Linked DNA regions of Canis lupus familiaris. The protein of the gene in region 3 interacts with the protein of the main gene of each other region in a pairwise test. Links are inferred from orthologs where the notes say so. Each region holds a gene or a part of one and is shown on either strand. Other genes may lie near its edges. The genes, in order: MYF5, MYOD1 and ID1.

Region 1 (4,273 bases), on a different chromosome or scaffold from region 3:
GCAGGGCGGAGCGGAAGGGGGAGAAAGGCAGCCGGGCCCTGGAGGGAGGGAGGCGGCGCCCCTGAAGCTCGGTCCTGGGCCGCCCCGGGCCCCGCAGAGGCCCGACCCCAGGAGGAGGCGCCCGGGAGCTGGTGCAGAAGGGGGCTGGGGGGGGGGGCGGCCGGGCCTCGGAAGGACTCCCCCCGCCCCATCCGGGAGCCCCGGGCCCTAAGGTGACCTCATCGCAACACCACCGATGTTTAAGAACCTAGCTTCACTGCACGATTCAGAGGGTCGCCTCCAAGCTTTCAGCAACCGTTATTCGATCCACTGATGGGGGGGGGGGGGGGGCAAAAAACAAAAAACAAAGAAAAAACAAATCCCTGAGCTAACTAAAGTTCGTGTAGAGCACAGAAAGCACCTAAAAATAAGGTGCGTGCTCACGTCCAGGATCGGGAAGGCAGGGAGGCGCGTTGGGGCGTAGCTTTTAGGTCCGAGCGGCTCCGAAGAGTCGGACGGCTTCGTCCCTTTGTCTGCACGCGTCTTTAAGTGACCCCGGGGTCCAGGGGCTCCAGGGAGTGCACGCAAGGGCGGGGGTGGGGGCGCCCCGCCGAGGCCCCGCCGCACGAAAACCATTAGTCCGAGGGGCCGTAAACAGCAAATCGGCTCCGGGCCGCGGCGGGATATGCTAATAGTGCGGGGCCGCGGGGGCGGCCTCCCGCCCTCCCTCCCCGGAGTATATAAGGAGCCCCAAGCCCCGCTCACCCGGCCCGGGCCCCAGGCGCTCGCCCCGCGGAGCTGCGGAGCCCCGACCCAGCCGCCCGCGCAGGCGGCGTCTCTCCGTCTCTCCCGTCCCTCTTGTCTCTCCCCTTTCTCCCCATCTCTCCCATCTCTCCCCATCTCTCCCCATCTCTTCCATCTCTCCCCATCTCTCCCATCTCTCCCCATCTCTTCCATCTCTCCCCATCTCTTCCATCTCTCCCCATCTCTTTCATCTCTCCCATCTCTCTCCATCTCTCCCCATCTCTCCCATCTCTCCCTTTTCTCTCCATCTCTCCCCATCTCTTTCATCTCTCCCATATCTCCCGTCTCTCCCATCTCTCCCCATCATTCCCTTTTCTATCTTTCCCCATCTCTTTCATCTCTCCCATCTCTTCCATCTCTCCCATCTCTCCTGTCTCTCCCCATCTCTCCCATCTCTCCCCATCTCTCCCTTTTCTATCTCTCCCCATCTCTCCCATCTCCCCCATCTCTCCCCATCTCTCCCCATCTCTCCCATCTCTCCCCATCTCTCCCATATCTCCCGTCTCTCCCATCTCTCCCCATCATTCCCTTTTCTATCTTTCCCCATCTCTTTCATCTCTCCCATCTCTCCCATCTCTCCCCATCTCTCCCTTTTCTATCTCTCCCCATCTCTCCCATCTCCCCCCATCTCTCCCATATCTCCCCATCTCTCCCATATCTCCCCATCTCTCCCATCTCTCCCCATCTCTCCCATCTCTCCCATCTCTCTCCCATCTCTCTCCATCTCTCCCGCCTCTCCCGCCTCTCCGGTCTCCCCTCCCTCTCGCCGCCGCTCCCGGGCGCACGCACCCCTGGCTTCAGCATGGACGTGATGGACGGCTGCCCCTTCTCGCCCTCCGAGTACTTCTACGACGGCGCCTGCATCCCGTCCCCCGAGGGCGACTTCGGAGACGAGCTGGAGGCCAGGGGGGCCGCCTTCGGGGCGCGCAGAGCGGCGCTGCCGGGCCCCGACGAGGACGAGCACGTGCGAGCCCCCACGGGCCACCACCAGGCGGGCCACTGCCTCCTGTGGGCCTGCAAGGCGTGCAAGAGGAAGTCCACGACCACGGACCGGCGGAAGGCGGCCACCATGCGCGAGAGGAGACGCCTGAAGAAGGTCAACCAGGCCTTCGAGACGCTCAAGAGGTGCACCACGACCAACCCCAACCAGCGGCTGCCCAAGGTGGAGATCCTCCGGAACGCCATCCGCTACATCGAGAGCCTGCAGGAGCTGCTGCGCGAGCAGGTGCAGACCTACTTGGGCCTGGCGGCGCCCAGCTGCTCCGAGCCCACCAGCCCCACGTCCAGCTGCTCCGACGGCCTGGTAGGAGCCCCCGCACCCCCCTTAGCCCCAGTCAGTAGTTACCGGTGGAGACGGGGGTGCCCGAGGGCAGGGGGGCTTGCCGCACTGGAAGGGCGCCAGGCAACAGCTGTCGAGCGGGATGTCCGCTTGCCCTCCGCCCAGGTTCTCGGAAGGTCGGAGGGAGGGTGGGCATGCGAGCGAGGTGGCCAGTGACCGGTGACACGTTTGTGCCCCCGGCCCGGTCCCTGCCCTGCTGAGGCCCTGCTGGAGAGAGATGGGGCTGCATTCTTCTCAGAGGGCCTTTGCTCCGTCCCTGCCAGGTTTTAATGGGTTTTTGCCCTGGGAAAGTATTCTCTCCCTGAATTACTGTGGCTTCCTTCTGCCCCAATCCATTTTGCATGGTTAACCCCACGCACATTGCTGCTGAATTCCACCCCCGCCCGCTTCCCCTTGCCGGGCTCTCTCCTCCTGGCGGCCTCAGAGTCTGACCTCGCAGCCCTTAGGGCCTGGGGAGGCCACGAAGGGGACGGAGGGCCCCCCCGCCCCCTGCGGACCTAGTCAAGCACAGGTCCGAGCATCTTTTGCCAAGCCCTGCAAACACACTTGCTTTGTGTCTTGTGTCGCAGCCCGAATGTAACAGCCCTGTCTGGTCCAGAAAGAGCAGCAGTTTTGACAGCATCTACTGTCCTGATGGGCCAAATGGTAAGAATTGGTGGGACCTCAGAGGAGTTTAAGAATCAGGTCGACTTCGCAGTCGGGCCTGTCAAAGCAGTCTGGTTTCCCAGGCTGTACTGGAGAAGGGAATACAAAGGATGCTTCCTATGGGGAGGTTTTGGCACAATCACGCACATCTTTTGGTCAAGTCCCCCCTCACAGACGCACACATGTGTGCTTTTGCTGGCAATTTTACTAGGGGGCTTCTCCGCCCCCTGCGTTCACTCCCATGAGTGGCTGGATATTTGTTACAAATGTCCACGTCCGGCTTTCTGTGACCACCTGACCCCTGGGGGTCAAAGTTGCTGACCTATACAGTTTACGGGGCCAGAAAGCCAGTCTCTCTATCTGAGATTTTTTTTTTTTAATGGTTTTCTCCTTGTGTTCTTAGTATATGCCACAGATAAAAGCTCCTTATCCAGCTTGGATTGTTTATCCAGCATAGTGGATCGAATCACCAACTCCGAGCAACCTGGATTGCCTCTCCAGGACCCGGCCTCCCTCTCCCCAGTTGCCAGCACGGATTCCCAGCCTGCAACTCCGGGGGCCTCTGGTTCCAGGCTCATCTATCATGTGCTATGAACTGAAAGTCTAGTCTAGATCAGTTCCATGAGGAGGGCCTATTACGCAGGAGGAAGGAAGCCCCGAAAGTCCAAGAGCAAGACAAGTTGTATATAAAGATTTCCTTTGCGTTGTAAATGTGTAAATACCATCTTGCCACTTTATACGAAAGTGTATTTAACTAAAAAGTCACCATTGCAATTAATACTTTATTCCTTTTCTCCTCCTCCTCCACCTCCTCCTTTAGCTCCTTCTTTGCTTTAGATATATAGCTCCAATAATATTCTTTCCGATAGGGGGCAATTCATTGAAGATAGCTTGTTGCAATGCTTAACTTATATATTTTTTATAAATATTGCTAATCAAAATATTATGTCTGATGTTAGATCTTTATTTTTTTTTCTTTAAAACATTAGGACAGCTGGAAATCAGTTACAGGAAACCTTAAATATATTTAACTTTTGTTTTCCTATTAACCTTTTGGTGATATTGTATTAAGTAAGAACGTAACAAAAAAAAAAAAAAGTAAGAACGTAACAACACTGCCTAACGGTATCTATTTTGGTCTTTTCTGATTCATGTTTTTTTAAAAAGAACACCCCTAATGGGATTAGCAATCACTGACACAAAACCTTAAGGTGGTCCTGAAAATAACAAAATAGCTGGCTTTGTGTATACATTTGAACGTTTACCATCTCTCAGTCGCAGCTGAGGTCCTGTTGATGTCCCAAATGAAGAGAACATTTCTATTTTAATCAGCTTTCACGGGAGCCTGCTAAATACAATTTTTCCCTTATCTTAGCACCGTGCCATCTAGTGTCAAATTGTGAGGGCGTGGAGGAAAAGTAGAAGTTATTCAGGACAAGACAACATGTTTCAACGAAAATAAAGTACAATATTACATCATTTTAATACGGTACATTAGGAATCTTG
Region 2 (3,834 bases), on a different chromosome or scaffold from region 3:
CAGAAGCAAGCCTTCTCCAGAATACAGCCTTGCACCTCCGACTGAGGACCTCCACATCTTTTGGTGTCTTTAGATTCTCACCACCACCACAATCGCTCCAAGAAATCGCTCTTATTATCTCCAAATTTACAAACTGGGGAAACGGGAGGCTTGGAAGGCGATGTGACTTCCGCAAAAATCACACAGGAAAACTGTGGGATCCAGATTCGGACTTAGGTCATTGGTCTGCAAGCTCTACTCTCAAAGATTCCACTCTGATGTGGGGTTCCCAGGCTGAGTCCCGACGCTCCAGGCCTTTGCGCAGTGAACTTCGCTGGTGCAGCGCTGCACGCAACAAGGAGGCAAAACCGGAGCAGACAGTTTTCTTCCCAGTTGAAGACACATCTCCACCCAGCCCCGCACTGGACACTCCGCTGCGGAAACACACAGGTCGAGCTGGGCAGGAGTGCACTTCCCTGCCTCCAGCCTGGGGCAGGACCTGGGCTTGGCGAGATTGGCGCCAAGGGTCAGCAGCCATCCTCCTCTTCTGCACCATGCGGCTCTGTTCCTAGGCGGGCGGGCGGGGAAGGTGGGCTGGGCCCTCCGCCCTCTGAGCGACTCCCCAGGTGGGAACTGGCCGAGGACCGGCCGCCGCATCCAGTTTATCTCAGGTTCGCCCCCCCCTTTTTTTTATTTATGATAGTCACACACACACACAGAGAGAGAGGCAGAGACACAGGCAGAGGGAGAAGCAGGCTCCATGCACCGGGAGCCCGACGTGGGATTCGATCCCGGGTCTACAGGATCCCGCCCTGGGCCAAAGGCAGGCGCCAAACCGCTGCGCCACCCAGGGATTCCGGTTCGCCCCCAGGACTCTATGTCTCGCCGCAGGTTTCTCTGCTTCTGCCTCTAGCTTTCTGCTCGGTCTCTATCTCTTGGCCGTATCTCTCACTGTCTCACTATCTCCGCTCTGAGTGTGTCTCTGCCCCACTGCCACGGGTCTCTCTCCAAATCCCTCGCGATCTGTTCTACTCATCCCCTGCACCTGGGTCCCCCACAAATCCTAGGACAGAGGGAAGCCCAAAGTCAGCTTGGAGCTGGGCGCGCGCGGCCAACATTTTCCGAGGGCGCCGGACGCGGACGGCGCGGGGAGGTTTGGAGCGAGCGCGCCCGCGAGCCGAGTGCAGCCGCGTGGGGCTGCCAGCCTCTGCCTCGCTCCCAGCCCGGGGAGGGGCGGGAGCGCGCGCGCGGGGGTCGAGGGCTAGGGGGCTGGCCAGTCTCCTGCCCCAGCGGCCACCCTGGGGATCCCAAGCTCCTCCCCACCCCGTTTCTATTGGCCTCGGGCGCCCCCGCCCCCAGCCGCCCGCTCCCGCTCTGGGGCCCTTTAGCTACTACGGGATAAATAGCCCCGGGCGCCTGGCGTGAGGCTAGGGGTGGGGAAGCCCCGGGGCGCTGCAGCCGCTTTCCTCACCGGCGCATCAGGCCCGACAGGACCCGGCGGAGGGGGGGAAAGTCGGGTGTCCATTCAGACGACCCCGTACTTTACCATCGCACGGCCAGGGCTGCGGAGAGGCAGAAAGTTTGGGGCAACCCCTGGCGAAGCCGGGACTGCGCCACCCCCTGCCGGGATATGGAGCTGCTGTCGCCGCCGCTCCGCGACGTAGACTTGAGCGGCCCCGACGGCTCCCTCTGCAACTTCGCCTCGGCGGATGATTTCTACGATGACCCGTGTTTCGACTCCCCCGACCTGCGTTTCTTCGAGGACCTGGACCCGCGCCTCGTGCACGTGGGCGCGCTCCTGAAGCCCGAGGAGCACTCGCACTTCCCTGCGGCCGTGCACCCTGCGCCAGGCGCGCGCGAGGACGAGCATGTGCGCGCTCCCAGCGGGCACCACCAGGCCGGCCGCTGTCTGCTGTGGGCCTGCAAAGCGTGCAAGCGCAAGACCACCAACGCCGACCGCCGCAAGGCCGCCACCATGCGCGAGCGGCGCCGCCTGAGCAAAGTCAACGAGGCTTTCGAGACGCTCAAGCGCTGCACGTCCAGCAACCCGAACCAGCGGCTGCCCAAGGTGGAGATCCTGCGCAACGCGATTCGCTACATCGAAGGTCTGCAGGCGCTGCTGCGCGACCAGGACGCCGCGCCCCCTGGTGCCGCCGCTGCCTTCTACGCGCCTGGCCCGCTGCCCCCAGGCCGTGGCGGCGAACACTACAGCGGCGACTCCGACGCGTCCAGCCCGCGCTCCAACTGCTCCGACGGCATGGTAAGGCCAGGACCCCGAGCTAGAGAAGTGAGGGCAGCTCTTGCTGTATCTGGGACGCGTTGCACAAGGCGGGGAGTTGGCCCTCCAGAGGGAGGTTTGGGCCGGGAACCTTCTGGGGAGTGGACCCTGGTGTCCTGAGCAGCCGTCACCGGGGTGGCCTGATGCTCTGGGGGCGCACGGGACAAATGCGATCCACCCGGCCGGGGGCGCTGTTAGAGCTCTGCTGCAGCGACCTGGAGTTGTGCTTTTCTGCACTCATCCCTATTTACAAAATAGACTTATGCTCCTAGGCGACTGTCCACGCGCTGGTTGGCCCGGGAGATTGCAGACAATCTCCGTCCGCCCCTGTCCCCCAGCCAGGGCCCAGATCTCGTGGCGGAGACATGGGGAGTTGGGGCAGGTGGTTACAGAGAGTGATGCTCTGGCCCCCCGCGGTCCCCGAGCCTGACTCGGTCGCCCTTGCCCTTGCCGTTTGCAGATGGACTACAGCGGCCCCCCGAGCGGTGCCCGGCGGCGGAACTGCTACGATGGCACCTACTACAGCGAGGCGCCCAGCGGTGCGTATTTGCGCCTCCTTCCCACGTTACCCGCTTTGAGCTGCCACGGCTTCCCTCTATCTGGACCTCCCCCTCCCCCTAATCCCGGAGACGGTACAGGGAATGAAATACTAAGCGTGCAGCCCACTCCCTTTTCGCTCCGTGCTCTCCCTGGGTCCTCAGGTTCCCGTCTGCCCCCAAGCACTGAGCCCGGAGGCGGGAGGCCTGTCCGCGGCTCAGCCGCCACTAACCCACCCCTCCCCGCGCAGAACCCAGGCCCGGGAAGAGTGCTGCGGTGTCGAGCCTCGACTGCCTGTCCAGCATCGTGGAGCGCATCTCCACCGAGAGCCCCACGGCGCCCGCGCTCCTGCTGGCCGAGGCGCCGCCGGAGTCGTCTCCCGGACCGCAGGAGGCCGCCGCCCAGAGCGACGCGGAGCGCGGCGCCCCCACCCCTTCCCCGGACGCCGCCCCGCAGTGCCCAGCGGGCGCAAACCCCAACCCCATCTACCAGGTGCTCTGAGGGGGTGGGCGGCCGCATGGGAGGCCTCCGCTGCCCACGCGCCCGAGGGACGGCGCCCCCCGCGCCCCAAAGATTGAGCTTAAACGCCAGCCCCACTCCCAACCGCGCTTTAAAAGCGACCCCTCCCGAGTTGGGAGCGGAGGGAGAACTGTTTGTGTGTTTCCACTCCCGCGCTCCACAGTAAGGACACAGTCCTTTTTTTCCACGCAACACCCTTCCCTGAGACTCGCTGCGATGGCCTTTAGGGGTCCCTCCTTGGGCCAGAGCTGACTCTTGAGGGGCCAGACCCTTCCCCTTCTTGCGCGGGGTGGGACCCGCGCAGACCTAAGCCCCGCCTCCGGGCGCCGGGGGAGCCTAAGGGGGCGTGGCCACTTCTCCCCGAGCCCCGCTACTTTGTAGCCTAAGGGGGCGTGGCCTCTTCTCCCCGAGCCCCGCTACTTTGTAGCCTAAGGGGGCGTGGCCTCTCGCTCCCCAGCACCGGCGACTTTGCTCTGCCCCGGCGCTGCGCGAGGTGCGCTCGTGTAACACTAACCACTCCA
Region 3 (3,725 bases):
TCCTTTGAAGCTGGTCTCACTGATTGGTTTTCCTGGTTCTCCCATGTTGAGGCAGAAGCCAGGTTTACTGGCCCCCTCCCCCAGACTTCTGTGGGAAAAGGAAACCTGCTGATGCCCAGTGAATTAATTGCTGGGGGATGGGGAGGAGGAGGGACCATAACCATAATACCAACTCTCTCCGTGGTGGGCAAAGTATTTTAGCCATGCCAAAGCTCCACGTCCTTGGGTGGCTATTCTAGACATTGGTGTCTCCAGCTTCTGGCCAATCTGGGGCTCCAAAAGCTCCGACTCCCTACCCTGGAAGGAAGGGATTGCGTTACAATAAAGTGCCCCTGTTAAAATAATGCAGCCATTACAAGAGCTATGCCTCTAGGGAGACTTTTCGGGCCTCAGTTTCCTCCTTTGCATAAAGAAACCAAAGAACTCCTCTCTAGAGTTGTGACTAGGATTACAGACGATGATAACGGCAATGGCTTTACACACAATGAAATACACGTGCCTTGCACGAACTAAGAATTCAATAAGCCACTTTGTCATTAATATCAAAATGCCAGGCAAATGCTATATTAGGAATCAGAGACGGGGGAATCCCTGGGTGGCTCAGCGGTTTAGGGCCTGCAGAGGGCCCAGGGTGTGATCCTGTAGACCCGGGATCGAGTCCCGCGTCGGGCTCCCTGCGTGGAGCCTGCTTCTCCCTCTGCCTGTGTCTCTGACTCTCTCATGAATAAATAAATAAAATCTTAAAAAAAAAAAAAAAAAAAAAAAGGACTCAGAGCCGGAGACAACTAACTTCACCCAGCAGCAAAGTTGGGATGAGAACTCTCCCCCCGCAGCCAGGGTGCCGAGGAAGCGGTGAAGAAACGTCCCAGGGGCCTGAGGTGTGAGCCCGGCGGGGCGATTCCCAGGTGTGGGGCAGGGAAGGCGACCCTTGGCCAGAGACCGCGCCCGCCAGGAGCGCATTCCCGGCTTCCCGCCCGGGGTCCGCAGGTGACTGGCCGAGCGGGGCGCAGTGGGGGAGCGCTCGAGCCGGGTTTGCCGTCTCCATGGCGACCGCCCGCGCGGCGCCAGCCTGACAGCCCGTCCCGGTTTTATGAATGGGTGACGTCACGGGCCTGGCGTCTAACGGTCTGAGCCGCTTGTTCAGACGCTGACACAGACCCGCCCGGGAGGTGGGGGGCGGGGGGGGGGTGAGCCTGGAGCTCGGCAGCTGCCGCGCCGTGGGAGGGAGACCCTGATCGGAGGTCTTGGGGGTGGGGGGGAAGGGGACAGGAAACAGCCAAAAAAGGGAGAAAAATTCTAAAATCACTAGTTGATGCAGATTTAGGGAATCTTTGCAGGAGATGCAGCCCCCCCTGGGGGCCTTCTATCTAGTTCATGTCCCAGAGGATCCGCCCCCGATCCTAGAGGAAGACTTTCCCGAATTAATTGCTCCCACCCAGAGGGGCCTGGGTAAAGCCTCCCAGGTCCCAGGAACATTAACTAGCAACCTTCTCTGGGAATTGGGTAAGGGAGACCAGCTTTGGGGAGCAGAGGGTAAAGGAAGGCCGGCTTTAAGTTTTGTGCCAGACCCAAGAGGTCGGGCTCCCAGAAGCCCAGGCTCTAGTCGTGGGCTCTCTAGATAAACCAGAGCCAGCCGCTTCCGCACTGAAGCCTCAATTTCTCCCATCTGTAAAATGGAGCTGGAGAGGTGAGAAAATGAACCTGAGAAAAGTGATTCCAGAAGTCTTCGTTGTCGGCAATGCGTCCTTTGCGAGAAGCCCAAGGTAGCCCTCGCCTGCCACTAGCCACCCCGCCCCGTGCCCTTCCACTCCCGGTTCCTGAGACTCGGGCTCCCTTTCCGAGGCTGCGAGGGTGCACTCGTGGAGCAGGAGGCGGGCCCCAGAAGCACCGAAGGCCACGCCTCAAGACCGCCCATTGGCTGCTTTTGAACCTCTGAGCCCGCCTCTGGCGGCGGGGCAGAGGGGAGGGGGGGGAGCCGCGGCGTCTCTATAAAAGCTGCTGCGGGGGTGCCGCGGGCGCACTCTACAACCGCCTCTCCCCCGCCCCGAGGTCCAGGCTCCCGCCGGGTGACCGCCTCCTTGCGCTTCGGCTCCCCGCTCTTCTCCGACGCCAGCATCATGAAGGTCGCCAGTGGCAGTGCCGCGGCCGCCGCGGGCCCCAGCTGCGCGCTGAAGGCCGGCAAGACGGCGGGCGGCGCGGGCGAGGTGGTGCGCTGTCTGTCCGAGCAGAGCGTGGCCATCTCGCGCTGCGCGGGGGGCGCCGGGGCGCGCCTGCCCGCCCTGCTCGACGAGCAGCAGGTGAACGTGCTGCTCTACGACATGAACGGCTGCTACTCGCGCCTCAAGGAGCTGGTGCCCACCCTGCCCCAGAACCGCAAGGTGAGCCGGGTGGAGATCCTCCAGCACGTCATCGACTACATCTGGGACCTGGAGTTGGAGCTGAACTCGGAATCCCAAGTCGGGACCCCGGGAGGCCGGGGGCTCCCCGCCCGGGCTCCGCTCAGCACCCTCAACGGCGAGATCAGCGCCCTGGCGGCCGAGGTGAGAGGAGCATTTTCTTTCAACAGTTGGGGACACAGGCCCCGAGGGAGGCGGAGGGGGGTGAGCCTTGGCTCTACAGCCGCCCCATCCTTCCGGGCACCTGGCTGTGCAGGGATGCCCAAGGAGATCGGAAGAAGCGCGCTCTCAAAAGCGTCTCCTGGGGAAGGTGTTGCAGCCTCGTCCCCTCCGACCCGCCCGTCTCACCTCTCTCGTTTCACAGGCGGCGTGTGTTCCGGCGGACGATCGCATCTTGTGTCGCTGAAGCGCCTCTCTCCAGGACTGGCGGACCCCAGCCCTCCAGGGGGCGAGAAGAACCCGTGCTCTGATCCTGCCGAGCGCCTCGCTGGAGCTGGGGAGGACACACGATTGAGCTCGGCGACCGGTGGGGCGCTTGCTGGATCCAGCCCAGGGCCCGGGACGGAGGGCTGACCCTCCACCTACCAACCACCAGAGACTTGGGGGACCCCTCCCCAGTGTGTTTCTATTTTTTGAAAAGCAGACATTTTAAAAAATGGTCACGTTTGGTGCTTCTCAGATTTCTGAGGAAATTAATTGCTTTGTATTGTATATTACAATGATCACCGAGAATATTGTTTTACAATAGTTCTGTGGGGTGGTTTTCTTTTTTTGTTATTAAACAAACACTTTAGACTACGGTAAAGTTGCAGTGATTTTTTGGACTGAGGGGAGGGCCTTGGGATGCGGGTGACCCCTGACTCTCTTCACAGCTGGTGCTGGGGTTTGGGGGAGGGGTACTTAGAAGGCCACATCTGGACTGTCGGTTTTACCGACCTGAACTGAGTGTTTTCCGGTGTCTTTAAAGTCTATTCTTTCCCCATCACTGGTCATTTCCCTGCTCCCTGGTGTCATAAAATTAAATCCTCTAGACCTCTAGGGTTTCTCCAAGCGGTCTTGGGCCATCTGGGTCACCTGGGGGAGGTTGTTAAAAATGCAGATCAACCTGCCAAGGCCCACTGTCACTTTAAGTATTCAACAGGCCATTTAAGTTGGAGAACCAGGTCACTGAGCCGCCTCCATCTTTGCCAACATAGGGGAAGGGGAGACCAAGACCTAGAGGAGAAAACTTGCTGAGAGCCTGTCTGAGGCAGGACTTCTGTCGCCCCATTCCCCAGTGGGAGGTGCCTCCCCAGTTGGGCTGCCTAGCCCTGGATTGTAGCAGGCTGC

Evidence for each region.
Region 1: the proteins of ID1 (region 3) and MYF5 interact in binary tests that used the Homo sapiens proteins (3 or more experiments, as listed by UniProt). The link is inferred for Canis lupus familiaris from reciprocal best matches to the Homo sapiens genes ID1 and MYF5.
Region 2: the proteins of ID1 (region 3) and MYOD1 interact in a two-hybrid assay, tested with the Homo sapiens proteins (5 studies listed by BioGRID). The link is inferred for Canis lupus familiaris from reciprocal best matches to the Homo sapiens genes ID1 and MYOD1.

What each region holds. Positions count from the first base shown.
Region 1 is NC_049236.1:23,285,852-23,290,124, forward strand, and holds the start of MYF5 (myogenic factor 5), read left to right. Parts: upstream 1-1,455; 5' UTR 1,456-1,585; coding exon 1,586-2,086; intron 2,087-2,691; coding exon 2,692-2,767; intron 2,768-3,170; coding exon 3,171-3,361; 3' UTR 3,362-4,273.
Region 2 is NC_049242.1:40,920,055-40,923,888, forward strand, and holds MYOD1 (myoblast determination protein 1), read left to right. Parts: upstream 1-1,390; 5' UTR 1,391-1,609; coding exon 1,610-2,239; intron 2,240-2,717; coding exon 2,718-2,796; intron 2,797-3,044; coding exon 3,045-3,295; downstream 3,296-3,834. UniProt on the Homo sapiens protein: Acts as a transcriptional activator that promotes transcription of muscle-specific target genes and plays a role in muscle differentiation. Together with MYF5 and MYOG, co-occupies muscle-specific gene promoter core region during myogenesis.
Region 3 is NC_049245.1:21,592,951-21,596,675, forward strand, and holds ID1 (DNA-binding protein inhibitor ID-1), read left to right. Parts: upstream 1-1,267; 5' UTR 1,268-2,117; coding exon 2,118-2,540; intron 2,541-2,760; coding exon 2,761-2,802; 3' UTR 2,803-3,201; downstream 3,202-3,725. UniProt on the Homo sapiens protein: Transcriptional regulator (lacking a basic DNA binding domain) which negatively regulates the basic helix-loop-helix (bHLH) transcription factors by forming heterodimers and inhibiting their DNA binding and transcriptional activity.